Linked DNA regions of Drosophila melanogaster. The gene in region 2 interacts genetically with the main gene of each other region. Each region holds a gene or a part of one and is shown on either strand. Other genes may lie near its edges.

Region 1 (4,738 bases), on a different chromosome or scaffold from region 2:
AGGTAAAGCTCGGACTGCAAAATAATCCGTCGCCCGATGACATGGGCATCGATCTGGACGAGCTGATGAAGGAGGTGGAGCATCAGCTGCACAAGGAGTCCGTCGATATTGTGAATAAACCTACGGGAGCACCGGCCAAGGTACAAGCCGCCGATACAGTCGGTGGCAGCACTGGCTTGGAATCGCTAACAGATTCAGATCTCCAGACCCTACTCCAGAACTTTAAGTTTTTGTCGAACGAGGAGCAGGTTCATCTCATTGGCCATCTGCGCAAGTTGGAGGTACAGGATCCGTCGCGCGTCGATCGTCTGCGCAAGTATGTGAATCTGGTGGAGCTCCGAGGCGATGGCGAGTCCTGCAGTGATTTCCTGGCGCGCGTGGTGAAAATTGGTGGGGCTAGCAAGGCGAAACCGGCTACCAAGTTCAAGGCTTCGGTTATGGGTGGTAGAACCTCCTCCGCCATGGCCGCCAGCTCCGCCAGTGCCACGGCTCCGAAAGTGGGTCACTCCATGCTGAGCGCTCAGCGCCCCAATTTGGATCGTGATATGTCCAGTATGCCCATCAATAAGCAGAGACGCGGCCGGAACACGCCCAGTATCATGCTCGATGACGATGACGAGGAAGATGATGATTACAACTTTGATGATTTGGTGATGAAGGCCTGCGATTCGAATGGAAGTGCTAGTGCTGGTGGTGGTGGTGGTGTCGTTGGTGCTGGTGTACACAATAAGCCAGGAGTGCCGCCCATTATAGGCGTTGAATCATCGCCAAATGCGCTCACTTTCAAGCCAGCAGCAGCGACCAAGATTTCGCTAAAAGACACCGAGAACATCATAGCCAATCTAATGGGCACTTTAAGCAAGAATGGCACTTCTGGAGGTTCACCCGTGGGTGGCAATCGCAACTATATGATGAACCAGCAGCATGGAGCGCCAAATGCGCAGAATGCACCGAATTTGGGTCAGAATCCAGGCCAAAATCTTGGCCAAAAGCAGCCCGGAGCGGGCTATTCCAATGCGGGCTATCCAGGGCAACAGCAGCAGCAGCAGCAGCAGCAGCAGCATGGCCGCAACTTTGGCCAGGAGGCACAGCCACTGATGAGCGGCTTGAGCGGCGGACCGAATGCCAATCACTATCCAAATCAGCAGGGCTACGGCGGCTATCATCCGTTTGCGGGCAATGGCGTGCAGCAGAACTACGGCGGCATGGTGCCACCAGGTCCAGGTGGCTACGTGGGTCCGCCCCCTAATCCGTGGGCCAGCAATGTGCCGCCACAGCCGCCCTTCAACCAGATGCCCCAGAACTTTATGGGTGCCCAGCAGCAGCAGCAGCAGCAGCAGCCGCACTTTAACAACATGTTCGGTGGACGTCACTAGAGTGTCGTAGACTTAGATATCCATACTATTAACGTTATGCAATTTAAACGTAATGTAGAAACGAGAATAACGCCCTTTGAAGTGCCCGTGTATCTGCTAGCTGGCAAGTGATTTTTATTATTTTTTTTTTTACCATACATGTGTGCTGCTGCCAAAAAAAAGAAAAGAAAATAATCACTACCTTCATTTGTTTATAAAACACCGAACAACAATAGAATTCAGAAAACATAAATCTGAAGAGCACGTGAATAAACATACACAATAATTCCGGAAATCAACTTTAATCGACTTTCGTTTGGAATTATTAGCTGGGGGAGCTTTGAGTTCTGAATTCTGTGTATTGAAATAAAAATAAACGAAATGGAACGTACAAGTGACAAATAATAAAATAAAATAAAATATGTATAGCTACATATGATGTTCTTCAATGGTGATTTGATTATTATTATTTGATTTATACATTAAACAACTGATTTTTAAGTTTATTCCTCTCAAAAACAACAAATTTAAACTTCGAAACCAAAACTAATCGTACATAAATGAATAAGCGAATGCAAAGCATTTATACCAGAAGCTAAGCTTCACAGCTCCAGGGAAGTATAAGTATATACCTTTGCTCATCCGCAGCAGCAGCAGTTCCATGTATATCGAGTGACCACTGTGCCAACAGATGAAGAACAATAAATATATCAAAATCGAACGTTTCAACCGACTTTTTATGGAGGAGAATTTAAACTAATCACGGAATTAACTACAGTAGGGCAGGCGTAGGAAGTCCACGGACTGTGACTTCAGTATGCCGGGTATCTCCTGCTGCAACAGTTCGTGCAGCGACTGACCACTGTGCTTGTAGATCCATCTGCCCGCCGCCACAGTGCCGACGAAATCGTATCGCTTGGGACCGCTGGTGGGCGAACTGAGCCAGATCTGCTTGTTGGGCGTCTGCCGGTTGATCACATAGGTGCCGTGTTGTCCTCCCAGGTTCACGGTTAGCACGCCATCCTGTGGAAGCGGAAACCCCGCGAGGATTAGCAGGTCAATGGAATGATGTAATAGCCGAATGTCACCTACGCTGTAAGCCACATCCGTGCCCTGCAGCTCGGAGGCGTTCTCCGTCAGCTCCTCGAAGTAGTCGCACAGTGCGTCCAGGGTGTCGGAGCACACACGCTCGTAGGTGGCGCCGTCCAATGTGGATTCCGTCTCAATTTGACTGCTAAACAATCGCCGGTTGGCAGTGAATTCCTCGCATTGAATAGCAACTGCGGCTATCGCTGGTGTGCTGGGCAGGATCACTTGGCTGGCGTGTGCTTGGGGCTTTGACCACCTGCCCATGGTGGCCAAGCATGCCCGACCAACGATCGAACGGACCATCAAACGACCGGCAAACATTTTTTAGTTGTTTACGATTTGTTTATATTTTACAAATCCCAGTTGCGGGGCTGCCAACTTAATGGAAAATGATTTGCCGTTGGTATTTTCTAGATTCTAGTGTGGTATAATTTTTGATTTCTATAAAGCTGAATAAAAATGAGAAGTTACAGATTTTTTTTATTAGTAGCAGCAATTCAGCTAAAGTGTTCTGCTAGTTTTAGGTAACTAAAATTTTGTATATTCTCTAGCAGTTACTATTTCCTTATCATATATATTCCGCTATATATACCAATTCCCGGCTTATATGATTTTTCTTAGAATCAGATACGGCCACACCTCCACCAACGCCGACAGAAAATGGCGTCTGTCTGAAAATTGTTATTTCTCTTGGAAAATCCATACAAATTTGACCAGCGAATTGCACAAAGATGGCCCTGCCAAGCAACTACAAGCAGATAGCCGTTGGCGGCCAGGGATCGGCCACACCACTCCAGGGCGGCGGCGGTGGCTCCGGCGGCGGCAGCCGGTCGCGTTCATCCGGCGGCGGAGGTGGTGGCGATCGCAACAAGGATCAGACGCCCATCTTCACGCACAGCAACTATGGGAATCCGGCATTCACGCCACAGAAGGTAACCAAGTCGTCGAGCAGCAAGAACCAGAACGAATCAAGGCTACCCAAGCCACCAAAGCCGCCGGAGAAGCCCATTTTGCCCTACATGCGGTATTCGAAACGCGTCTGGGATAGCGTCAAGGCGAAGCATCCAGAGCTGAAGCTGTGGGAGCTGGGTAAGAAGATCGGTGCCATGTGGAAGTTGCTGCCCGAGGATGAGAAGACGGAGTTCATTGACGAATACGAGGCGGAGAAGCTGGAGTACGAGAAATCGCTAAAGGCCTACCACCAGACGCCCGCCTATCAGGCCTACATGTCGGCCAAGAGCAAGGTGAAGACCGACGTGGATATGCATGAGACACCGTCACGCGGTGGCGGCAGTAAGTCGCAGCATGAGCGACGCATCGACATTCAGCCGGCGGAGGACGAGGATGACCAGGACGAAGGGTATACGACCAAGCACTTGGCCTACGCCCGCTATCTGCACAACCATCGCCTGATTAACGAGATATTCTCGGAGGCCGTTGTACCAGATGTGCGTTCAGTGGTGACCACCACGCGGATGCAGGTGCTCAAGCGGCAGGTCAGCTCGTTGACGATGCACCAGACCAAACTTGAGGCGGAACTGCAGCAGATGGAGGAGAAGTTCGAGGCCAAGAAGCAGCGCATGGTGGAGTCCAGCGAAGCCTTCCAGGAGGAGCTAAAGCGCCACTGCAAGCCGGCGGTCGACGAGGAAACTTTCCAGAAGATGGTGCTTCGCATGTACGAGGACATCAAGCGCGATCGCCAGCGATTGGATGAACCGAATGCGAATGCGAATAGCGCAGCGAATCCTGCTGCAGCTGCCGCTACAGCTGCCGCCGCTCCAGTGACGAGGAGCGAGGAGGCAGTGAAGCCGCCAACGCAGCCAGGTCAGCCCGCTGCCACACCCGCTGGCCAAGAGCCGGCGTCGGCGGTACCAGCGCCAGCAGCTCCGCCCAAGGAGACACCGCCGGCTGTGAAGCCCGCTACACTCAATCCCACACCGAGTTCAACGCCTACGCCGGCGCCAGCGGTGCACGTGCACGAAACTGCCAGCAAAACGGATCCCGAGCCCATGGACATTGAGCCACCGCCGAAGCCATCGGTTCCGCCGCCACCCATCAAGCCAGAGAAGCTGGAGATGGCCGCTGCCCTGCCTCCGCAGTCAACGCTAGTCGAGCCACCCAAAACGGAACCCGCCAAAGTGGTGGCCCAGCCCGGCAAGGTGCCCACACCGGTGCCGACACCCACACCGCCGCCTGAGGTGGCTCCAGCGGCCGGAGCAGCTACTGCAGCGACCACAACAACGACGACGACACCAACGCCACCGCCGGTGCCACAACAGGTGCCACTGCCGCAG
Region 2 (9,167 bases):
CACAGCGATAAAGTTGAGGAAAATTTAGGGAATTTTAAACGAAAAGTGCCTTTGCTGACAGCGAAAAATGTGAAAAATATTTAACTATGTATACTTGCATTTCAGAGTTGCGAAAAGTTTTGATACAAAAGCATTACCTACTGTTTAGAAAAATGTGTTAAAAAAAAAACGTATCGCAATATACTGTTAATCAGGAATTGAACACCTGGTCTACGCACTCAGCTAAATATTTAAATACAAATTAATGTTACTTAATTGTTGCATTTAGCATAAAAATGGAAAAGATTTGGAAAAGTTAGAACAGTTTGTTCAATGGCAGCCCTGGCCTGCTAATATTTTAAATAACTAGACTGAGAGAACTTACATATTCATACATGTTTTTCAACTTGTAAAAATTTTTAAATGAACAACTCACTCAATACTTCATTGCGAACCAAAATGAACACACAAATAGCGGTAGGCTAAGCTTAAATGATACTGTGTACATTTTCAGATGATTTATGTTTTATATAGTTTGTAAAAAATATTAAATAATAAAAAGCTCAAACGACAATAATACTATACGTTTGTTTATTTCAATAACTTATTTTGTTTGATGTTCAAAGCGCGCCATGCATTTCGTATAACGATAACTCGAATTAATCGATAACTCGCCCTGCTAGGGATGCGCGATTCACTGAAAAGGTTTAAGACTCACTGGCACAGTTTTACATCTACTGGACACTTGTAGCTGAAATTTCAATTCATCAAATAAAATACATATTTTTACAAAATTACGGAGAAATAAAACATTTTACTCATAGGAGATAATGGTAATAAAAATATCATTACAAAAAGTATTAAATTGATGTATATTTCATAGGAACAAATTTGATTAAGATTAAGTTCAATCATTCGAAGTAGTAATTTCTCAGGGTACCGAAGAAATATTTAAATGGGAATTAAGAGCTCGACTATAAGTGACCCAAAAAATTAAAGAATCTCCAAACAGTTATATCAAAAAATAAAGAATTTATTATATATTCATTGCATATACATATACATTGTAAGTGTAATTTGTTTATGACTTAAACAATTTTGAATATCAAAACAAGACAAGACACATTTCGTGGTTAAATCAATTTAAGCCCGCAACCAAAGATCCGAAAAGCGTTCGCCTTTCTTAGTCAATTTCGGAATGGGTGGTGTTGGTGGTGGTGGTGTTGGTGTTGGAATAATTAGTTCCATTGGATTAATCGTAATTAAGGCCAAAAACCAAGTCTGATCCGTCGAATCCGCTCGCTCAGCTTAGAACTTCGAGGACTTGGCCAGGTTGAGTTCCTCGGTCAGCATGCGACCGAAATCGGCGTGCACCTGGGTGAAGTTCTTGACGGCCCGCTCCTGCAAGAACTGGCTGGCGTTGCTCAAATGGCCGGCAATGTTCTGCACCAGACGCTTCTTGGCGCACTTGTCGAGCACATGCACCCAGAAGTCGGTGACCTGGCCGAAGTTGTCCTCGGTGTCGCCGCTGCTGTAGCGGTAGACATCTCCAGTCACCGGACAGCAGGAGGACAAGGCCCTGGCCCTGGGGCATTCCTGGGGACCGTTGAACGAGTTGGGGAAGTAGTTGGGGGCACCATCCTGGTTGTCCGTCACATTCATGGCTCCATCCCGCTGGAAGTTCTCAATCTTCACCTTGTACGGGCAGTTCACCGGGATCTGCAAGTAGTTCGGTCCCAGGCGATGGCGATGGGTGTCCGAGTAGGAGAACAGACGACCATGCAGCATCTTGTCCGGAGAGGGCTCAACGCCGGGCACCAGGTGAGCGGGACTGAAGGCGATCTGCTCCACCTGAGGGTCAGAAAATTACCATATTAGTTATCTTTCTTTTGATTGCATTAATCTCAAATGAAGAAGAATCTATTTGAAACAAAAAAAAAAAACGAACCTCAGCAAAGTAGTTCTTGGGATTGCGATCCAGCACCATTTTGCCCACAGGAATCAGAGGGTACTCCTTCTGCGACCAGACCTTGGTGACATCGAAGGGGTTGTACTTGAACTTCTTGGCCTGCTCGTAGGTCATGACCTGAATGTACATCGTCCAACTGGGGAACTTGCAGGTCTTGATCCTGTTGTACAGATCGCGAATGCTGTAATCCGGATCAGTGCTAGCCAACTGATCGGCGGTCTTCACGTCCAGATTCTTGATGCCCTGGTCCGTCTTGAAGTGGAACTTGGCATAGATGGGCTCGCCCTTGGCGTTGATCAATTTGAAGGTGTGCGAGCCATAGCCGTTCATGTGGCAGTAACCGTCGGGGGTGCCGCGATCGCTGAACAGGATGCACACCTGGTGAGCGGACTCCGGTCGCAGGGTGAGGAAGTCCCAGAACATGTCCGGATCCTTCAGATGCGTCTGCGGGTTGCGCTTCTGGGTGTGAATGAAGCTGGGGAATAGGATCGGGTCGCGAATGAAGAAGACCGGCGTGTTGTTGCCAACCAAATCCCAGACGCCATCCTCAGTGTAGAACTTGACGGCAAATCCTCGAGGATCGCGGGCGGTGTCCGCAGATCCGCTCTCACCACCCACGGTGGAGAATCGCACGGCCAGTGGAGTGCGCTTCTTGACCTTGTCGAAAATCTTGGCGGCACAATACTGGGTGATGTCATGGGTCACCTCAAAGTAACCAAAAGCACCAGCTCCCTTGGCGTGCACGACACGCTCTGGAATCCGCTCCCTGTCGAAGTGCGACATCTCATCCAGGAAGTTCACATCCTGCAGCAGGATAGGTCCTCGCGGACCAACCGTCTGGGAGGCATCCTTGATTCCAATGGGTGCTCCATTGCCGGTGGTAATGGCACCAGGAGAAACCTGCAAAAGCAAATGAAAGTCAAGTTTAATCAAATGTATTTTAATTTTAAAATGCTATGCAACATTCAGCAACAATATATTGGTTCAAGTGTCTTACAATCTTATCGGGCCTATTGCGATAATTCATTTTTGGCCCGCGGACTTTCATTTAATCATTCGATTTTCACCAAAAGAAAAAAACATTAACATAAAGATTGCAGAGCGTTATCTCTACACGGGGGGTCATTTTGCAGTGCATATAAATTTAAAATAAGAGATCCCAGGTGTTCTTAAGAGCTTGAGGCCTTAATATAGTGATGATGTATGGGTTTTTTGCATTAACATGTCAAGATATCAAATCCGTGTGCAAGGAAAAAACCAATTAAATGAAAGTATTCAAACATCAAAATGATGTTACACAGTTTATTAGCTGGCGATCAATTAATTATTTCATTCCATTAAGCTAATAAAAGTGTATTGTCCATCTGAAATATCAATTAGCCCACCAGCTGTCCTGTCATTTATCAGTCGATCTAATCATACTCCTTGTTTTCAATTCATTTCCCTAGAGTAATCCGAGACCGCTCCTTAATCACCTTATCGTTTATTTCGCATGCAGGCCAGCCACTCATTATAAAATTAACTCAGCCAACAATTTGCAAAACTGTCACCGGCCAATGCGCACTGTTTAGCTAATGTATTTGAAACCTGAACAACGCCATGCGAAATTCTAATTCGAAAGCATTTCTAGAACAATGCATATAGAATTTTATACAGAAGGTTGTTTATCAAAGTGAAGCCACCGGTGGTGGTGGTGGTGGTGTGTCAAACATATAAATTAAGCTACTGTTTATATTTCACAACAAAGTCATTTAGATACATATAGCACTTGGGTTGGGATTACCCGGTTGGGCACTAAGACTTTTACAATTGTTTAAGGAATTAGTAGTTGACTTTATCAAATCTTAGTTCCTAGAAGTATATATGTATCTATTTAATAATAAAATCAGCTTAGACAGGCCAGTAGTATACCCACTTATTGACAAACAAAAAGCGCTACATAAAAACGAAGAAATGAATATAATTTCGAAATTATCATTCTGGAATTTATACTGGAGTCACCCTTTAGATTCGGCCGATTCAGCCGGAATGTTTTGCACTTTGAGACATTAATATGGGGCCACTTCAGGGGGCAGATACGATAAGTGAAGCAAACCGGGAATGACAATGCGAGTGGAACCGCTGGAACTGCGATCCACGTCCAACAAGTCAATCTGGTTCCTATCAGAGCCTTCGTTCTTATATATGTATGTATGTATTTGGTTGTAGATATCTCCAGCGAAGAGCAAACTGATAAGAGAACCGCAACCGATCTCGAATAGAAATGCAAAGAACACAGTCTACAGGAAAGTTTTTAATTGCAACTTGTTGGCGATGCCAATGACACAAAGATGGCAAACAGCAACTTAATGAGGCGGCTTTATAAGATCAGTGCACCTGATAGTATGAGATAAATTTGCCTTCTAGACATAATTTATCAGCAGAAGGTTACTCATTCGAGAATGAGAATGCATAGAAAATAAGCTAAAGGATTTTAAATAAGGATTTTTATAGGGTTCTTAACCGACTCACAATGACCTTACGCAATATGCATTGCGTTGCAAAATATTCCAAGTATTTTCCTTGCATTTTCGAATTTCTTGGATAACAAATTAACTCGATTGCGAGATTCCCAAAAGAACAAAGAACCCAGTTGCCATGATTATTCACCGAAACAAAGGCAAACATTTAATTGCCTGACAGAATGCAGTTTTCACAGTTTCGTCATAGAAGGTCAAAATCGACTAAAACAACACGAACCAACCAACCAACTGTGGAGCTAGCTCTCTTTTCTGGGTCAGTTCGAAACATATTCTCACATACAGTCGCTTTTAGCCGGGCGTTCCAGCCAGGTTGCATAACCAAATTGGAGAAAGAAAATTTGCGTTGACTTATGGCACTGGCACACGCATTTTCCGAAGCGGTCTAGCCTTCCGCACTCAACCCAAAACGGGTTTAAAGCCGGGTTCGTTGTCACTCGAATCACTCGCAGTCGATGCGCATTGCAACCAGTTTGTGCAACATTGAGCCGGTCGCCGCAGAGTCCATTGACTCCCAACGAATTTTCCAACTTACAAGCGGTGCAATCCAGCGATCGCGTTTCTCAAAAAGTTCATATCTATATTTGTTTATATAAAATAATGACCGCTGATTGCTTTTAGTTAGTGGAGTAATTGGCTTCGTGACTCAATGCACAAATGCACTTAAATCGCTGATGCGAGAACTAAGTTCTAGATTTAGCCTTAATTGAATAGGGTAAAAAAAAGGTATACTAAATTAAAAAACAAAAAATGATTGTATTCTTTGAGAACTGACAATTCATACTTACAAAGTATCGAAATCCAATGGAAATTTACTTTAGTTACTAACCAAATGTGGGCACTCAACAATATCTATACGGCTGATACATCTAATCTATTTGGGCCAATTACTTAGCTGTTTTGGATGCCTATCAACTGGCTGACAAATAGCTATGCAGAATTATTATTTCATTTATCGATTTTTAGAGGGCATTGGGAAAACCACAGGGAAATTGCCGAGTAAATTATATATAGATACAGTATCTATGGGTGAGGCTTACTATTGATTTTGTTATATTTCATTCCTTTTTATAAAATGTAACAGCATATTTGATTTCAAAAATGATTGCAGTGTATAAAATGTTGCAATTGTGGAATGCCACGAATTTAGGAAAGTACAATTTTCCGAGTGTGAACAAACAATATTTGTTCAAAATTTTAAGAGGGCACGATTCCACAATTGAAATCATGCATTTAATCTAAACCAAAAGCGAAAGCGAATAATTAACACAAAAGTGCAAACGAACAAATTCGAATACTCAAATCCAATGCACAATGCAAGTGCCAAATGAAATTGGAAGTGCTAAGTGAAAACAGCGCTGAAAAATGAAAATAGACTAAGGTAAGAGGTCGCCCAAGGTTAGAAAATAGGTTAGCTAGACTAAACTTTGGATTTCCTTAAGAAGGAAAATAAAAATAAAAGGGAAAATAAAATTAACTTTGGATTAGGTACAGAAAACACAAATCCAATAAGAATTGCCACACTGATAAGGTTTATCAGTTCACTTCTGATAAGATTTCTACAAATAAATAGAAGACCCAGAGAGGCGGCTTTTGAACTTCGAACTCTGGGGAAACGACTTCATCATTACTGGCATTTGTTGGACAAGCCTTTGTTGTTTTTCGCATTTTAATAATTAATGGAATTAATGGAAAGTACAGGCTCATAGCAATCGTTACTGAAATTGTCTTGTTTTTTGTTTATTTCATTTCGTACAATGCTTCTCCCTTCTCTTTTTGTCTTTTTTGCCTTTCTTGTTTTCTTATTTTCCTGCCGGCACACACACGCACACACATGCAGTTGCGCTCTCTCGCGCTCGCACACCAACACACTCACCGTTTGGGAGTTTTTGTAGTCAATCAACTGATTGGAAGCCGCATCGCGTCCAGCCATTTTGCTTAAAATTTAGGATATTTGCTCAACGGGATAACCAGAATTTAGAAACACTCGAACTGGAAAGTTGTTGATTTCTAGCCGCCTTCGGTTTTTTGCTGTGACTGCGTCGAGAATTCTGTCAACTAAAGCAACTGCAGCGCAGTTCCATTTGTTTTTATAGCCCAGCACCACGTACTTGTTGTTGCTCAGGGTTGTCGAGTGGGCCGAAGATATCGATATTTCGATTATAGTTGGAAATATATCGCTTAAATATTACATAATATCCATTATTATTCATATTTGTATTTAAATAGTATGAAATTCATTTTCAAAGTTTTTTTTTTGCACTGTCCATTTAAAAACGTGTCCCAACACCATTAAGATTTATTATTGATAATTTATAGTACCTTCGCTCCATTTGCTGCCCAGAAAGGTGAATAAATTTAAACTGTTTGTTAAGTTATTTATTTTTTTAATTTCATGAAAATGTCGGCATCATTAAGTTATAAACTAAGTCGGCTATCTATTGGTGCTCCTGCCAAATAAATATCTATGGCCTCTTTTTTTCTTAAGTTGTGAACCTCTTCCAGTGGTGCCTTTAAAATAAATGTACTTCATTCATATAATATATGTAAATATCATTAAACATGTTAAAATTATAAACTTCAAGGAAATCTCCAAATGGCGGCTATCTTTCTGTGGCTCCTGCCAAGCTAACATCTCTGTCTTTCTTTATTTTAGCGTACAAAAATATCTAATTAAATGAAACTTAGAAACTAGCATCAACTAGCATATGTATCTTGTTCTCTAGTCACAACTTAAAAAAATCACCTAACCACCTGTGGTTCCCATCAAGTAAATATCCATGGACTGCTTGTCCAGGACGGTCGGGCGCCTCTTTGGAATCGGCTGAATGTGCGGCAGTCGCGTGCCATTCACGGCGTTCAAACTGAGATTCGAGTTGGGGTCGTAGTCGTCGCAATCCGGAGTAGTCTGGGCCAAGCTCAGCCTCTGCGATGGTTTCACCATTAGGTTTGCCCTCGCAAGCTGGCGTTTTTGGATCGCTGCAGCGCTGGTAGTGGGCACATTGTCTGAATCTTGACTTAAGCTTCTGTGGGAGCACAGCTCTTCATCGGGAGTCACAATGCCCCCCTCACTGTATGAGGCACCGAATTCGGAACTTTGGCCAGAGACATGCAAAGAGGGCGCACTTTGGTGCGACGATGACTGACTGCCGCTGACGTCCGTAATGCTCGCGGCAGTCTCCCTGGCCATCTTGTGCCGTTTGGCATTGTCGTTCTTCTTCCGGTAGAGTCGCACCAGGTCCGTGTAGCACTTGCAGCAGATGAGGTTGCCCGCCCGAATTTCGCTGTTCAGCAAACAGGCGAAGCGCACCAAATATTTGTTGTTCAGTTGGCGATACGGCTTCCGCAGCGTGTGGTTGCCGACTGCGCAGAATCTCCGCTCAACGCGCGAGCCCTCGTCAATGGAGGCCATCTGGAATAGATCATGCACCTAGTTCTCCACAACTCGGGCTTACAAAACAATGCTTACACTGGCATTTTAACTTCCAAACGCAACAAAACGAAACATGAAGCCAATTGTCCCGCCACTTTGGAAACATATAGTGTGACCACATATGGATTGCTGAAATATACCAAAATTAGGCGTAAAATAAAATGCATTTAACTAATAAACAAATTCAATTTTTTTAAATGTTATAAAATCTAAAAACATACTGACATGGTCACAGTTTCTCACAATTTAAATGTGGCTTATTGTAATGCCAGTTAAGTAATTAATATGAAGAAACTATTCGTTTAAAATTGACAATAATCTAATTATTGGCGTGTTCGATGTTCATGAAATACTTATGTTATATCAGTTAGTTTGAAAATTGACTGTATTTCTTCTGTTGGTTGTATCAATTAAAATGAGTTTAAAAACACATTTTTTAAAACCCTAAAACCACATTCAAATCAAACTGTAATTATACCAACTAATACTGAAAATACCGAAAACTGCAAAATCAGCTGCTCGCCGAACAGCACTCAGCGTGCTGTTGGACGCGAAATGTTAGCCCATTAAACCCAGGTTATTTTTTGTCATTCATTGTTCATACGTTCGTCTCGTCTGATTTTCTTTTTATAAAAACACAATTAAAATTTCAAACGAATACACATAATTTTTATAAATATAATGTAGTGCAACACGTATATGTATAATATAGCTTAATACCAAGTGCAATCCCTCGAAAGATAACTTCAAATGGCAATCTAATTTACGTAAAGAGAAGAGACAAAAAAAGAAACGGCGCGTGTGAAATTTTTTCAAGCAAAGCAAAGGAGAGAAGTTGGAGCAACAAAAAAAAGAGGAGAGAAAAAATACAGCAACAACACACAAAGTAGGCCAACAACAACAGCAAGAAAAAAGCAAGCAAGCGGCAACAACCACAGCAACAACAATAACAACGTCGAGCGAAAGAAGCAAAAACCTTGTAATTGTGTCAATAAATGTTTTAAATAATATTTCCTTTGGGAAAGGCACCGTGTCTGTGTGCGCGCTTCGTGGTGTGAGTGTGCGAGACAAGTGAAATTTTCTTTGTTTCCCTGCGGGGGAGGAAAATACAAAAAAAAGAGTCAAGAAATAAAGTTGCCTTGAAACAACAAAAAACGCTGCCCCAAAAAAAGTGTATGCATGTGTGTGTGTCTGACTCGTTGTCTGCTGGTGTTGGTGAGTGTCTGGCCGTGTGTGAGTGTGTGTGGCAATGAACGTTGAGCAACAA
Region 3 (7,016 bases), on a different chromosome or scaffold from region 2:
GAGGACGAGCCGGCGGCGGAGACTTCAGCCAAGCGTCCACGCAAGGGTCGCGTTTATTTATACCAGTTTGAAGAGGAAAACTGCCGCCTGGAGCGGCTACAGTGCATCGAAACGTCTGCCATTCTCGACATGAAGTGGCTGCCGGCCTGGAGCAGTGAGTGTAATCCCCACCTGGCCACGGTCAACTCTTTAGGCCAGATGGAATTGTACGAGTTTCTCCAGGATGCGAAGCTACTGCAGAGGCGTACGTGTTTTAGCCTGGCGGAGCAGGATTCGTCGGAGGAAGCGCCATTGGCGCTGGCCCTAGACTGGCAACATGACGGGCAGCACATCCGACTGGCCATCTCCGATTCCAAAGGCGGCCTAAATCTATTGAGCTACTCATCACAGGGTGAGATAATCCGCGAACGGTCGTGGTTGTCCCATGGCTTTGAGGCTTGGACCTGTGCCTTTGATCGTTGGTCACCGCACATTCTGTACAGTGGTGGCGACGATATGCTGCTCATGGCCCACGATCTGCGCACCAAGCAGCGTGCGTGGACCAACCGGGCGCACATGGCTGGAGTCACCTGTCTGCTAAGTCATCCGCGGCACGAAAACCATCTGCTCACGGGTAGCTATGATGAGCAGTTGCGTCTCTTCGACACCAGATCGATGAAGCGATCACTGGCGGAACTGGACTTGAGCGGAGGCATCTGGAGGCTGAAGCCGCATCCTGCCCAGCCCGATCTCATCCTGGCCGCCTGCATGTACACCAACTTTAGCGTGGTGCAGCTGGATGTCGCGGCACCTGGCCTGAGTTTACTGGGCGCCTATGAGGAGCATAAGAGCATCTGCTACGGGGCCGATTGGGCACCATGGAGAAACAAGGACGATGCGTCCTTGACCATGGCCACTTGCTCCTTTTATGATCACACGTTGTGTGTGAGTCGCGTGGATATTAACAAATGAATTCGATATCTGTATATTATGTTATGTGACTAAAAACTAAAAGAAAAATAAACATTTGCTGGCTTATGTTTTTCAACTATCTATAGTTTGTATAATAGTTTGCGGAAAAAACAGAATTGTTCATGGCATTTGGGATATCCTAAGTTTTCCAAAACTAATTTTAAACTGCCAACATCCCTGGCAGGCGATATCGATAACGCATGCAATCGGCTCAGCCCTGGTGCGGTTATCGTAAGTTCTGTCAGCGCATTTTCATTCGAAGTTTGCGAATTCAGAGAAGTGAATGAACTTGAACTGTTTAGTTATGGTAAGTACTAAACGTAGAGATCCTGCTAACTTTATAAACTCCTCATTCTACTCCGCACAGCATCCCCCACAAAATCCAAACAAGTTGGACGCCGAGGATAGCCTGGATCAGGCTATAGACAACATCGAAGACTCAAACGAGGCCAATCTCTATAAGCTTATCGAGCTGGAGGAGCAGAATGTGGCCTGGGAGAAACATCTTGCGGAACTCCAAATTATGATCAGGCAGGTGATGGAAAAGCTCGACAGGAGTTTGGTCAAACAGGAGGCGCTGGTGGCGAAAATGCAGAAGCTGAAGAATCAGAAAGATCAGGAGGGTCAATAATTATTGTACCGGAGGCGTGCTTTTGGCGTTAATTTTGATTTCATTTATAAATACATATGTAAAATATAGGTATCACACGCTTTTCCATTTGATTTTCTCAGAGTAACAAGTAGAAGGCTTTTCTCCTACGCCACCACATTCTGGATCCAGTTGAGGGCGCCGCGAATGCGACGCAGCCGGGCGCGTGCCAGAAAGCTGCATATGAGCAGGTACTCCACATAGGCGCGCCTATTGCCACAGCTGGCCACTGGCATCAATCCGGCGCCCATCTGTGGACGACCCTCGCACATAATCTTAGTGGTCAGCGAAAGGAGCCACTGTAGGATCTGTAAAAAAAAATCATAATTAGCTTAAAAGGATGCTGATGTGGTATCAAACACTGCGACCCACCTCCGGACTGTTGGGCATGCCGCCCGCCTTAAGCCAATTGGATGGGGCCCAGAGGAACAGCTGCACCACATTTGCCGCAATATCCGGACTGACCCGCTTGGACGGGTTGGGATTGAGGATGTTGTAGACCAGCTGTTGCAGCAGCGGCGGGCAAGCATCGCTCATTGGCGGCAATTGGTCCTGTCGGTAATCGCTGTTCCTCAGCGAAAGCGTCATCTCACCGCGTTCGCGCGCCATCCCACCGCTGCTCGAATAGAACGGATTGCGGTTGCCAAAGATTTCGTAAGCCAGGGCACCGCAAGCCCACAGATCGGCCTTGCCATAATTGAGTACGGCAAACGGACCGGGCATCGTATTGAAGATCTCTGGCGCCATCAACGCCGCATTGCCGCCCTTGTCGACGTCGTGCGAAACGTACGGCAGGCGCAGGCCATGCACCTTGTCCGCCAGACAACAGCCAAAGTCGGAGAGCACTAGCACCGGCGCCGCATCGTCCTGCAGCTCGATTAGCACATTATCAGACTTTAGGTCACGATGGGCAACGCCGTGACGGCTCAAATGGTTGACAGCCTCGAGCATTTGAGCCAGCAGCAGGATGCGATTGCGCGTGCTCAGATCCTGGCTATCGAGCAGGCCGCGAAGACTGTGATCGTAGCGTTTCATCAGCAGATACAGCGACATATTGCGGCCATAGCCCTGTGGATTGATGCGTTGCGGCTGCGCCACCGGATACAGGAGATGGCCATCGGGAAAGTTGCGCACCTCGTCGCAAAAGAAGCCAAACATACAGACAATGTTCGGATGCCGCGGCAGGTGAACAGTTTGATTCTGCAGCAAACGTTCCCACTCATCGGCGGCCTCATTCATGCCGCGCTGGCGTGCCGGTACCGTCTCCTTGTACATGGCACGCAGTATGGACAGAGCGTTGCTCTGGATGTCGTAGTTGAACATCATTTTGAGTGCCAGTGGATAACTGTCCACAGAGCTGTTGATGTTTGAATTCGCTGGAGAAGTCTGCAAGTTAAAGCAAAGAGCGTGATGGCAAGTTGCCATGCAGATTTAAGCTTACATATTTACCACATTGAAGGCACTGCTGCTGGGCTCCTGGTTCTGATGCTGCTCTTGTTCCTGATTCTGATGCTGCTGTTGCTCGTGGTGCCGCTGGTCCTGTTCCCTCGACTGGGCGCCCACGAAATCACTGGCCGCAGATGGCTGGCTGTAGTGGAAGACGTTGTCCACAGAGCCGCCAAAGTTGTGAACAAAGCGCGACATGTTCTGCAGCGGCGACATCATCTCGTGGGTACTCCAGCTATTCGGCGCAAAGGCTGGCGTTGCCTGCGGCTGCGCATCGGTATGCAGGGATGCACCATCCGAGGCAACATCTTTCTTGAAATCCGCTGCATAGACGACAGCGGCACAACCTTTGGCTATGGGCGGACCGATTTCCAAGTCATCGATGGTGAACTTGCTGTCTAGCGTATCGGAGATCTCGTCGTGATTCCAGGCGTTCTGCAGCCGGCTAGCTGCCTCCCGAATCTCCCAGCACACGCCCTCCAGTTCATCCTCCTTGCTGAGCACACCCGATCCGGAGGCCAGACTAACGCCAATCAGGGCGAAGAAGGGCGCTGAATCGCCAAAGAATAGCTTGCGGGTAGCGCGCTGGCGCAGATCCTCCGAGTAGGTGGTGGTCACCCGGCTGAGGATGTTGTCGATGAACAATTTGCGCGCATGCTGGCCCACTCGGAAGATTCCACTGCTGCTGGTGGGGCTACTGCCGCTGCCATTAAACGGTGATCCCGACGGGGAGTTGATGGTGCGGGGCACTACATTGACCACCGATTTGGCCGCCTGCTGGGGCGTTGTCTGGCGAAGAGATTGGATGCGGGTTAATTGGACATGCCTTGATCATCCGTTTAGCTTGACTTACCCGCAGCACATTGGCAGCGGTGGAGGGTAGGGGAAAGCCTCGCTTGCTTCTTGTCTTCAATTGATTCTGGTCCAAAATGTTGGCGTGTATATCACGTTTACAATAGCTGCGCAAAATGTAGCGACCATGTTTGATCAGTCGCACGGTCAGCAGTCTCACAGACATCTTTCGGCCCGCAAAGACCTCGGCTCCTAGTGCCTGCAACTGAATGAAGCACCTTAAACGGTCTGTCATCTATTAATTTAATTTTTAATTTTTACCTATTCTTTAAGATTTGTGGTGCTTAACTCTTGCTGCTGCTTCCTCTTCTTCTCCGCCAATTTTGCTCATGTGTGCGATCGATAGCGCCGATTTATAACCAAACAGCTGCTGTCGTTTCGTTTCGGTTCGGTTCGTTTCGATTCGATTGTTTTGTTTTTGCGTCGCAAATAAATTTTCTGTTTGTGGGTGGTGGTGGTTGTGGTGCAGCTGCGGGGCGAAGTGTGGGGGCGGTGGTGGCAGAACTACAAGGCGAAATCGTCGAATCGAAAGGGTTTATTTTTGCAATGATTATCCAAAGATATATCGCCTTTTTCGATATCTGTGTGGGCTAGACTGATTTTGGGCTATTTTCAACTGAACAAAACGATTAATTTACGACCTCCAACTTGCCTGGCAGCCAATTTTTAATGTAATGCGCCTACTTCAACGTTTCGTTTCGATTCGATTTGGTCGTTAGATAATCGCTGGTCAGCTGGATCTTTTCATTTGTCACGGAAAATGTGCGCCGCAATAAACACTTGTTTAAAAGCTTGCTTTGCTTATATTTCGCTATAAAATAATAGCTAAGTGTGCAAGAATTTACGATAAAAACAACGGAATAATTTAGAAACAGCAAGGCGTTAGTGTGACCACACTTACGGTATATCTTTAGAATCGATAATGACTATCGCGTAGTGTGGACTCGAATCATTTGGAGAATTCAAAAACTAAAAACCGTTATTCACCTGCCGTAAAATCAACAAATTAATACAATCTATTGAAATATCCTGCTACACACAAAAATTTATTACACGAAACTAAAACAAAATCGTCAATAGCCGCACAGCGAATCACTTCGGTCCCAGCATCTCCTTGGGATTGACCCACTCCTTGAACTGCTCTTCGGTAATTCCGGTCTTCAGTGCCTCCTCCTTCAAGGTCGTCTTATTCTTGTGCGCCGTCTTGGCGATCAGGGCGGCCTTGTCATAGCCAATGTGCGGATTCAGCGCGGTCACCAGCATCAAGGACTCGTTCATGATCTTGTCGATCCTCTCCTTGTTGGCCTGCAGTCCCTCCACGCAGTTCTTGCTGAAGGTCATGCTGCCATCAGCTGGGAGGAGAAGGTTATGTATGCATGTTTTTCCACTTGGAAAACACATTTCCGACTCACCCAACAAGCGAATGGAGCGCAGCACATTGGACACGACCAGGGGTTTGAATACATTTAGCTCGAAGTGCCCGTTGGAGCCGCCGATGGTCACCGCCACCTGATTGCCCATCACCTGGGCACACAGCATGGTCATTGATTCGCATTGCGTGGGATTCACCTTGCCGGGCATGATGGAGCTACCGGGCTCGTTCTCCGGCAGCATTAGTTCGCCCAGACCGCAACGCGGACCCGATCCCAGCAATCGGATATCGTTGGCGATCTTCATCAGGCTGACGGCGATCGTGTTGAGCACACCATGCACCTCCACCATGGCATCGCGGGCAGCCAGTGCCTCGAACTTGTTGGGCGCCGACACGAAGGGCAAGCAGGTTAGCTCCGAAATGCGCTTGGCCACCTTCTCGGCGAATCCCTTGCGTGTGTTCAGACCCGTACCCACAGCAGTGCCGCCCAGAGCCAGCTCATAGACGCGCGGCAGACAGCCCTTGATCCTTTCCAGACCGTTGGTCAACTGCTGTGTATAACCGCTGAATTCCTGGCCCAAAGTCAGCGGAACTGCGTCCATCAAGTGGGTGCGTCCGATCTTGATGATGTCCTTGAACTCATCCGACTTGGACTTGAGGGCATCCCTCAAGTGTGTAACCGCCGGAACAAGCCGCTCGTTCAGCTCCATGCCCACCGAAATGTGAATGGCCGTGGGGAAGGTGTCGTTGGAGCTCTGCGACTTGTTCACATGATCGTTGGGATGCACCGGCTTCTTGCTGCCCAGTTCGCCGCCCATCATCTTAATGGCCGCATTGCTGATCACCTAGTAGGTTTGCCAATGGCATGGGGCAGGAGAAGCATCCAGCTATACACATTTCTCTCGTTAGCCCTATCTAACAATCTTACCTCGTTGGTGTTCATATTGGTCTGGGTGCCCGAACCGGTTTGCCAGATGACCAATGGGAAGTGACCCTGTTTGTATAGCTTGCCGGAAATGACATCGTCGCAGGCGCAGGATACGGCATCCGACACCTTGCCATCTAGTCCGTAATCCTTGTTGACCTCGGCACATGCCTTCTTCAGTATGCCCATGGCCTGGATCACCGGCATCTGCGGGCAGTTTGGGGATTAATTGGCTATGGCAAAGCACTTGGTAGATGCCAGAATATGTTGGTTGGTTGGTTGGTTGCCTACCGGCATACGTTCGCCTATGTCGCCAATGGGAAAATTCAATTTGGAGCGCATCGTCTGTGCGCCGTACAGCTTGTCCGCCGGCACCTTTAGCTCCCCGAAGGTGTCCTTCTCCGTACGAAACTTGCCATTCTCCTTGCCCTTGCCGCCCTTACCGCCACTGTCGCACTGCAAAGATGCCCCATGTAGCCATGAGTTGCCAGCGACCATTGTCGCGTACTTACATCCTTGGCACGGAGGCCACTGCAAACCACCCAGAGATTGCGCCTAGCCAGATGCAGACCATTGTTTTGCTTCAGCATTTTCAATTATTATTGGTTCTGTGTTTCCGAGCGATTCATATACAACAAAACGATCTGATCTAGAAAATCACACTGCGATTCCGATGACAGCGATGATTGAATGATGGATTTCGTCGTCGGCCTACTTGGCTCCACTTCACTTGGGTCCCAGCATCTGTTCGGGTCGCACCCAGTCGTTGAACTGCTGCTCCGTCAGGTAACCCAAATTGATGGCCTCCTCCTTGAGTGTGG
Region 4 (8,185 bases), on a different chromosome or scaffold from region 2:
CCATCGGCGGTGGCGCCATCGATATTAAGCTAAAGGAGCTGCGCGACTACTTCATGACCGACGCCATTTCGCGCGCCTCGCCCACCATGGCCAAGTGCATATCGGCGGTCAACAAGCAGCAGCGGGAGAACGAGGCCAAGCAGAGTGTGGCTATCTAGGCGCCCACTCTCGCGTCTGATCTAAACTAATAACTAATTAATGTTTTTTTTTAAACTCTGCCCTTCGTCCTTTCGCGCCGCACTCGCCCACTAATTAACGGACACAAAGACACCAGGACGAGCCGCGGGAAGAGCCAGCGCAGTAGCGGGATGAGGAGCACGATCGGCGGCTGCAGAGGCGCCAGCGCTGCGTCAGTTGTAAATGAAAAAGTCTTACGTTGTTCAAAACAAAGGAGTTATTCAATACGAAAAATAGGAAAACCAAAATAAAAATGTAATAGAAAAAATATCACAACAGCGACTTATCAATGGGTTGGGTTTCACTATGGGTATATTGGGCTATTCCAAGTCGCTTGGTTCATAGTATAGCCATCTCGCTTTGTTTCGTGGCATCCAATCGGAGATACCACCTCGAAAGTGTTCCATACATACATATATGATTAATGCTAATTCCTTATAGAAGCTATTGAATTCTCTTTGCTGTTCATTAATTGATTGCATCAATTTACTGTCTTAATTTGATTTTGATTTGCTTGCGAGGATTCCTTAGGTCATAAACTTCAACCTTTTCGTAGCTTCTATTACACTTTATCACGCACTGTTTTTCCTTTGAAAACTAAAGTATAATTTATTACCCACTGATATATGTATCTCCAGGGTGCCATCGTTCGTAGCTGATTTATAGCCCTCGAGGGCAAAGATTCCCCTAGCAATGGCATTAGCAATTAGTCGGGTGGCTAACAAGTTGTCAGGCTGGCAGACAGAATCGATTTAGCCAGGTCAAGTCAAGCCATTTGCATGGCTAATGAACTTACTTGATTGAAAAGGCAGAGGAAGGGCTAAAGGTCGAGGTATGTTTTAAAGGAAATGCACAGAACTGAAACACAGAGGGGTTTGTTGGTGAAAAATTATATTCTTCAACCGTACATTTAGGGGATTTCATAGTTAATTTCATAGGTTCAAACAAATTCAAAATTTTGAGTGCATGTCGGCGGCGCAGCAGTCGTGGGTTGGGCTGGTCGCGCGGGTAGTTCCACTGGTGTCGTTCCACCCGCCATCGCTGCCCAGTGCCCCTCCCTTGCGCAGAGCTATTGTGTTGGGTGTTAATTGTGGAAACGAAACGGAACTATTGAACTCATCGATCGCTGGGCCGCGACAACAACCATTCATCTACGGGATTTCGGGTGGAGCAAGCGGCTTCGACACGTCCCAGGCGGCTGAGCTGCGTTCCCGCTTTAGCTGCAGCAGCTGGCCGGCGTGGGGTCCAGTCCGGAGCGCTTGGTGATGGCCAGCCGGGTGAATTCTTCGGCGGTAGTGGGATGGATGCCCACGGTGTTGATCAGCGTGTTAATAGTCAGGCCAGACTTCAAAGCGGCAGCGAATCCCTGGATAACCTCACCGGCCACCGGGCCAATATAGTGCAGTCCATAGACGCGCTGGTCACCATGGCGCTCGGCCACAGCCTTCAAGTAGCAGTAGCGCACGCTCTTCTGGGGAATGAAGAACTCCGTGGGCTTGTAGTAGCCGTGGAACACCTCGATCTCATCGGCTCCGAACTGCTTGACGGCATCCTCCTCGCTCAGGCCGACGCAGGCGTACTCCAGGGGCGTGAAAACGGTGGTGGCCACATCCTTGTAGTCCATGCGCTGGGTAGATCCTCCGTACAGGCGGCGGGCCAGCAAACGGCCAGCCAAAACGGCGACGGGCGTCAGCTCTGGCTTGCCATAGATGATATCGCCGACAGCGTAGATGTTTGCCACATTGGTAGCCTCCTGGGAGTCCACTGGAATCTTGTCCTTCTGCACAGTCACGCCGGCATTGGGCAGGTTCAGATCGTCCACCAGACCCTTGCGGCCGATGGCCCACAGAACGGTGTCGTAAACATCCTCGGCCTCCTCGCCGGTCTCCACGTTCTTGTACTTCACGAGCAGCTTGCCATCATCCTGCTTTTCCACGGACAGCGGCACCGTCTTGCGGAGGAAGGGAATGCCACGCTCCTCCATCGAGGCTGCCACCAGCTCGGCCATCTGCTGGTCGAAGCCACGCAGCACAATAGAACGCACCATCACAGTGGGCTCGTAGCCGAGACCCTTCAGGAATCCAGCGCACTCCAAGCCAATGTCTGAGTGAAAGAGCAGAAACCGAATGGGTTATTCATCAATTTGATGTAAGCAAATGAAAGTAGCTACTTACAGCCAGCTCCCACCACCAGGGTCTTGCCGGGCTCGCGGTCCAAACTGAACAGATCATCGCTGGTGATGCCATACTCGACAGCACCGGGAATATCCGGATAACGTGGTCGGCCGCCAACGGCAATGACGAAGGTCTGGGCGGTGATTGTGCGCTCGCCGCTCTTCAGCTTGGCCAGCAGTGTGTGCGAGTCCACGAAGGAGCCCAGTCCATTGATGTACTCCACTTTCCTGAGCGCAAATAGAAGGGTATAATTAGTGGGGATGCTCGAGCGGAAGCCATAGATATAGTCACACTTACTTGTCGCGCAGATCCACACGGGTCACCCAGTTGACGGACTTGATGTGGTTCTGTACGGACTGCACCAGCTTGTGCCAGTCTGGCTTGATCTTTTCGTCCACGTTCCAGCCGTAGGCGGCCGCCTCATGGACAGCCTCGCCCAGAAGGGAGGCCTGGTGCATCAGCTTCTTGGGAATGCAGCCCACGTTCACGCAGGTGCCGCCAACGCCCCACTTGGTGCCCAGAGTGGGCGTGGGCTTAACGAAATCCAGACAGGCCACACGGGCTCCATTGAGGACTGCCTCCTTGGCGCAGGCCAGGCCAGCTGAGCCGCCTCCAATCACAATAAGGTCGTAGTCGTAGGATCCTGCAGGAGAAAAAAGGTTTTCGTTTGATTCATCGCCTTTTGTCTATAGAAATATGTAATCTACTGCCAAAATTGGGCTTAAAGAGGTCAAGAGGTCACAGAACATGAGGAGCCGTCAGGAAATCTAATCGTAGCACAGCCAATTCACCTTGTATTATTAAAAACTTATCACCGTTAGTAACATCAATAGCCATGTTGTATTGGCATGGTCTGTTTTTGTTCTTAACCAGTATCTAGATTAGTTGAAAATCCTTATCAGTGATAGGTAATGATATCAATTAGCCATGTGGTGCCAACTACTCAAGTTTCTCTTTAGCTTCACTCATGATTATGGCTAATCCCCGCCTGCCTTTGGTGGACTCCTCGCGCAGTCGTATGTCCAGATAGGCGGATCGGTAGATGCTCCTCCGGTGGCGTGGTTCACCCTCGACCAACTGGGAAGCCGGTATGAATTCGAACAGATGCATCCAGACCAAAGAAGTGCGGAACGAAGACTGTTTGGCCTCCTGCAATCCGTAATCTGCACCGTGCAATCCCGTCGAGCTCCTTGGCTTCAGTTGCCAGGTAGCGATAGTGCTGCCGAATGCCACACATGCCACTGGGTCAGTGGGAGTTCGAATCAAAGTGGAGCAATCATCTAGCGACATCGCCACACACCAAGCCACGCCCATCCCAGCCCGGCCACGCCTTTCTTCCGTCCGTCCACCTACGCCCCCCCATTCGGTTTGCTTTGACCCGCCGGACTTTGTCATGGTTACGCCCCAAAACTAGTTGGCAACACCACACACAATTCGCTTTTATCGGACGGAATGCTAATCCTGGCCAGGAACAGGGGGAAATCAGGTGGCTACGTACGAATGCGAGTGCAAATAAACAATTGTTGTCGTCACACTGCAATTAATTGCGGAATGAAGTGGTGATGACGCAGCTCAGCAATGATGATGAAAGATCAAAGACGATGGCGGGCGCTCGTTGAGCGACGGATACGAGAGATACGAAATAGAAAACACAGATAAAGGGAATAAATGCACCCGACTGATATGGTGAAATCATCATCATCATCATCATAAAGCGATTCTCGAACATTCCGCAAAGGGTTATTCGTTCAAGAGCACCGCATTCGACAAAAATCACACATATCACGTTGGTGCTTTAAGAAATCCTATTATACCCTTAATTACCATTTGAAATCAGAATATGGCATATATTTATAAGTAAATTCTTCTATTGTTTTCGGAATTAGAAGCTTCGTATCTGCTCGATTGGCTAATTATTCATTTAACAAGAAAACTTGATCGTGGCATGTGGGATTTATATTATATTACAAATTAAAACATCAAATACGTTTAACTTCATATAAATAGATATTAGTTTTTTTTTACCAGCTAAAGGCAAAATGGCAATACAAGTGACTTGTATGAATGTAATTTAACAAATATTATTAATTCGTTAAGTCATATGATGTAATTCTTTTTTGAGGCAAATAACTGATATTGTTTAAGCTGCAATTGAGTAATGGTTTTATGAGCAATCCATAATTCAATTAAAAAAATTCGACTGACATAGTATTTATACGCGATTCAGAACTTTGTTGACCATTATACTTAGAGGATGTGCTCTTTTTGGCGCCCACAACGATGGCGCAAATCATGTACTTCAGCATGATACGAGTTTCGAGTGCTGTTCGCGCGACCCCGACTGTACAATTCCAGTTGGAGCGGGTGCGCGATGACGATTGACGATGACGGTGCAAATGTGAGACAGCAAATGCCGGGCAGGCATATAAACCCTTGGCGAATACGTGCCGCAGAAACCCGATAAGCCAGGTAATAAGAGCAGAGTAATGGACTTTTTGGCCAGGCAACTAACGGTTATTGCATAATGGCGTCGGTTAAACACAAGAAGACCCAGAAAAAACAACAAGCAAGAAAACCGCGACAATCGACCGCGTTGCCAACCGGCGGCAACAGGAGCAGCAGCTGCGGCGGCAACAGCAAAGATCTAATCAGAATATCAATCGATATCGATGCTCACCTCCTTTGGTGCTCATCTTTCGCACCGGTTGCGCGTACATGGCCGCCCTGTCGCAATGTGGATGCTGGAAGGGTGGTGGTGCGCCGGCACCGGATCCGGCTGGAGCATTCCCACCGGTAGCTCCAGTACTGTCGCGTGATCCTCGCTGTCCCGTCAAGTTCATAGTTCGCTGAAACGTGTGATGGGCACAGCTGAGACTACTGGAAATCCAATGGGGAACCTTTGTTGTCAGTGAGCCTCTGTTTTGTATAATGCCAGCCGAAGGAGACGTTAAAATCGTCGAGCACTGCCGCACGAACGTAACGGAGAATCTCGAATTGCACAAGTTCATCTTGTTGGCCTTTCCCCTTCTTCAACGTTTGGCGTTTCACTCTACCAGCTGGAGGCGAAACGAAACTATTCGCGAAAAGGGTGCAGAAAAATGACGGCGGAACACACAACACAAACACGTTCGCTGGTTCGGCCGGGAATGCTGCGAAAGCGGTGGGCAGGCAGAGGCGCCGATAAACGGCTACGTAACAGAAGCAGCGAGAAAGAGAGAGGGCGCAAGAGCGCGTACCGCAAAAACGAGAATGTTTGGGATAAAATGGATTTGCCATAAAGGAGCATCCATTGGATTGCGAAATTCCATTTGGGATTTGAACATCACAACAGTTGTTCTGCCCTTTGCCAATTGGAAATGTGCGAAACGCACGTTTGGCAATGCGCAAGTGTATCGATAACTCGCGGATGGTTGGTAACACTGCTGCTGTCCGAACGAAACAGCCGGCCGTCAAAATTTTTCCTAACATTTCACTATTTTCACGCTTGTGTTACGGCAATAAAGTCGATTGATAAGCACGGAAAGATCTGGCTGCGGGTCTGGTGAAATCCACAGAACACACGGAACCCGTATAGTAGTGCCGCCCTTTATTGGTTTTATCTCAAGTACGACGCGATAAGATTTCGAGCAACTCGATCGCGGATCTTCGGAAAAAAAAAACATGAACTCCATCCTGATAACCGGCTGCAATCGAGGATTGGGTCTGGGCCTGGTCAAGGCGCTGCTCAATCTTCCCCAGCCGCCGCAGCATCTATTTACCACCTGCCGGAATCGCGAGCAGGCAAAGGTGAGAGATGTTTTCTTCTTATTTTGCGTTGTCTCTCTACTAAGACAATCCAGTAATCCAACAAAACCGGTGACTCACAACCGTCGAGCTACAGAAACTACAGAAGCTACGCGAACAATCCACAAGAGCCACTATTTCTACAAACCGCTTTTTAATCGTCCAAATGGGCATGCATAAATTGAATGGTTCAATTGGAATCGAATTAACTGTGAAACTCACCTTGCACGGGCGCCATTATTTTGTTGCTTGTTGGTAGGTGCTCCACGTAAATCAGACAGAAAACAAGGATCAACGGCGGGTAGTGAATGTTGTTGTAGTCGAAGCGGAAATGTAAAAACTGCTAAGCGTGTATTGTAGCGGCTCTCGGCACTCGCGAAAGCACGAAACGAATAAGCGGAGCCAACTTTTGCAATAGCTTTTGTACTTTCGTACGAGCGTGCGAAAGGGAGACGTCGATTGGCTTGTCGATTGCTGGGCCGACTATTGTTCGGTCACACCAGCAGCACTTATCGTCTATCGGTTATTATGGCACTAACGCGCTCGTTGGGCGCGCTATTTAAACTCTCATGAAATACCAAATTTGCCTCTAAAAATTACAGTAATTTAACTGGAAAATTATTCATATATAAACTGCTTTTTTACTAATAATGTGCTTCTTATTCAAACATTTTGTCTTTCCCAATTTGGCCCACAGGAGCTGGAGGATCTAGCCAAGAACCACTCGAACATACACATACTTGAGATTGGTAAGCATTATGTTTTACCAGCCGCTAAACACTCTCGCATATAAATATATTTTCCGTGCAGATTTGAGAAATTTCGATGCCTATGACAAGCTAGTCGCCGACATCGAGGGCGTGACCAAGGACCAAGGCCTCAATGTGCTCTTCAACAATGCCGGCATAGCGCCCAAATCGGCCAGGATAACGGCCGTTCGATCGCAGGAGCTGCTCGACACCTTGCAGACCAACACGGTTGTGCCCATCATGCTGGCCAAGGCGTGTCTGCCGCTCCTTAAGAAGGCAGCCAAAGCGAACGAATCCCAGCCGATGGGCGTGGGCCGTGCCGCCATTATTAACATGTCCTCGATCCTTGGCTCCATCCAGGGCAACACGGACGGCGGAATGTACGCCTATCGCACCTCTAAGTCGGCCTTGAATGCGGCCACCAAGTCGTTGAGCGTGGATCTGTATCCGCAACGCATCATGTGCGTCAGTCTGCATCCTGGCTGGGTGAAAACCGACATGGGTGGCTCCAGTGCCCCCTTGGACGTGCCCACCAGCACGGGACAAATTGTGCAGACCATCAGCAAGCTGGGCGAGAAACAGAACGGCGGTTTTGTCAACTACGACGGCACTCCGCTGGCCTGGTAAACGATGACAGCGGTTAGTTTACCTGCATTTTGTTTCTGTCTGTTAATTGTTGTTGAATAAACTGGACTCCTAAAGTCAAGAAACGCTTGGGTTTACTTTTTAGAGGTCCCGTCCCCCCATCATTCGCATTTCTGATTGTATTTTGTGAGGTGTCTTAAGTGTTTTACATAGAAAAATAATTGATTTTCCAGCCCGCCATAGAACACATTAATTTGAAGTTCCTTAGCCTAGGCCCTGAATTGGCGATAACTACATGCTATTTGGTTCTTGGTGGAACCTTGGCCACCCTGGAGGGATCGATGCTGATGCTGTGGGCCAACGGTGGCAGGCGCACGGCATTGGCATTTGGTCCCGCTCCGAAACCGCCCACATCCGCTCCACCGGCCGGTGGATTGTTGGGATCCGGATATGGAATCTGGCGCTGGGGTGTTACCAGGGCCACGGGACGCGGCGAGATTGAATCTTGTGCTGTAGGTATTGATAGTTGTGGCTGAACCAGCTGGACACTAGAGGACTTCCCGTCCAGCGGGTGGGCCACGCGCTTGCGAAGATCTAGGCGTGGACGACTATTGTTTAATTTGCAGCTCTGAGAATCCGCCGAAATGGGTGGCGGGTCATTCCAGCCGGGAGTCAGGGATCCTGTGCGATGGAAAAGTTTAGCCTTGGCACGATTTG

The links.
Region 1: of Cat (region 2) and fh, changing one suppresses a phenotype caused by changing the other (phenotypic suppression), as found in Drosophila melanogaster (2 studies listed by BioGRID).
Region 3: of Cat (region 2) and Pink1, changing one suppresses a phenotype caused by changing the other (phenotypic suppression), as found in Drosophila melanogaster (one study listed by BioGRID).
Region 4: of Cat (region 2) and Trxr1, changing one enhances a phenotype caused by changing the other (phenotypic enhancement), as found in Drosophila melanogaster (one study listed by BioGRID).

What each region holds. Positions count from the first base shown.
Region 1 is NC_004354.4:9,146,248-9,150,985, forward strand, and holds fh (frataxin), read right to left. Parts: upstream 2,825-4,738; 5' UTR 2,766-2,824; coding exon 2,448-2,765; intron 2,379-2,447; coding exon 2,124-2,378; 3' UTR 1,833-2,123; downstream 1-1,832. Other genes in the region: CG7065 (uncharacterized protein), read left to right, coding at 1-1,376; Bap111 (brahma associated protein 111kD), read left to right, coding at 3,176-4,738. UniProt on the Drosophila melanogaster protein: Promotes the biosynthesis of heme as well as the assembly and repair of iron-sulfur clusters by delivering Fe(2+) to proteins involved in these pathways.
Region 2 is NT_037436.4:18,820,019-18,829,185, reverse strand, and holds Cat (catalase), read right to left. Parts: upstream 6,583-9,167; 5' UTR 6,401-6,582; coding exon 6,344-6,400; intron 2,849-6,343; coding exon 1,928-2,848; intron 1,831-1,927; coding exon 1,288-1,830; 3' UTR 998-1,287; downstream 1-997. Other genes in the region: HipHop (HP1-HOAP-interacting protein), read right to left, coding at 7,214-7,879. UniProt on the Drosophila melanogaster protein: Catalyzes the degradation of hydrogen peroxide (H(2)O(2)) generated by peroxisomal oxidases to water and oxygen, thereby protecting cells from the toxic effects of hydrogen peroxide.
Region 3 is NC_004354.4:6,681,605-6,688,620, reverse strand, and holds Pink1 (PTEN-induced putative kinase 1), read right to left. Parts: upstream 4,781-7,016; 5' UTR 4,551-4,780; exon of another isoform or gene 4,494-4,550; 5' UTR 4,160-4,493; intron 4,104-4,159; 5' UTR 4,065-4,103; coding exon 3,900-4,064; intron 3,836-3,899; coding exon 3,050-3,835; intron 2,987-3,049; coding exon 1,973-2,986; intron 1,909-1,972; coding exon 1,708-1,908; 3' UTR 1,583-1,707; downstream 1-1,582. Other genes in the region: CG3184 (uncharacterized protein), read left to right, coding at 1-951; CG44303 (uncharacterized protein), read left to right, coding at 1,256-1,258, 1,319-1,582; Fum2 (fumarase 2), read right to left, coding at 4,991-5,250, 5,311-6,115, 6,199-6,402, 6,487-6,651, 6,708-6,785; Fum1 (fumarase 1), read right to left, coding at 6,922-7,016.
Region 4 is NC_004354.4:8,240,903-8,249,087, reverse strand, and holds Trxr1 (thioredoxin reductase 1), read right to left. Parts: upstream 5,507-8,185; 5' UTR 5,360-5,506; coding exon 5,029-5,359; intron 4,900-5,028; exon of another isoform or gene 4,658-4,899; coding exon of another isoform or gene 4,591-4,657; intron 3,701-4,590; exon of another isoform or gene 3,462-3,700; coding exon of another isoform or gene 3,344-3,461; intron 2,995-3,343; coding exon 2,649-2,994; intron 2,579-2,648; coding exon 2,352-2,578; intron 2,281-2,351; coding exon 1,394-2,280; 3' UTR 1,055-1,393; downstream 1-1,054. Other genes in the region: ND-75 (NADH dehydrogenase (ubiquinone) 75 kDa subunit), read left to right, coding at 1-158; sni (sniffer), read left to right, coding at 6,012-6,137, 6,832-6,883, 6,945-7,510; CG2147 (uncharacterized protein), read right to left, coding at 7,767-8,149. UniProt on the Drosophila melanogaster protein: Thioredoxin system is a major player in glutathione metabolism, due to the demonstrated absence of a glutathione reductase.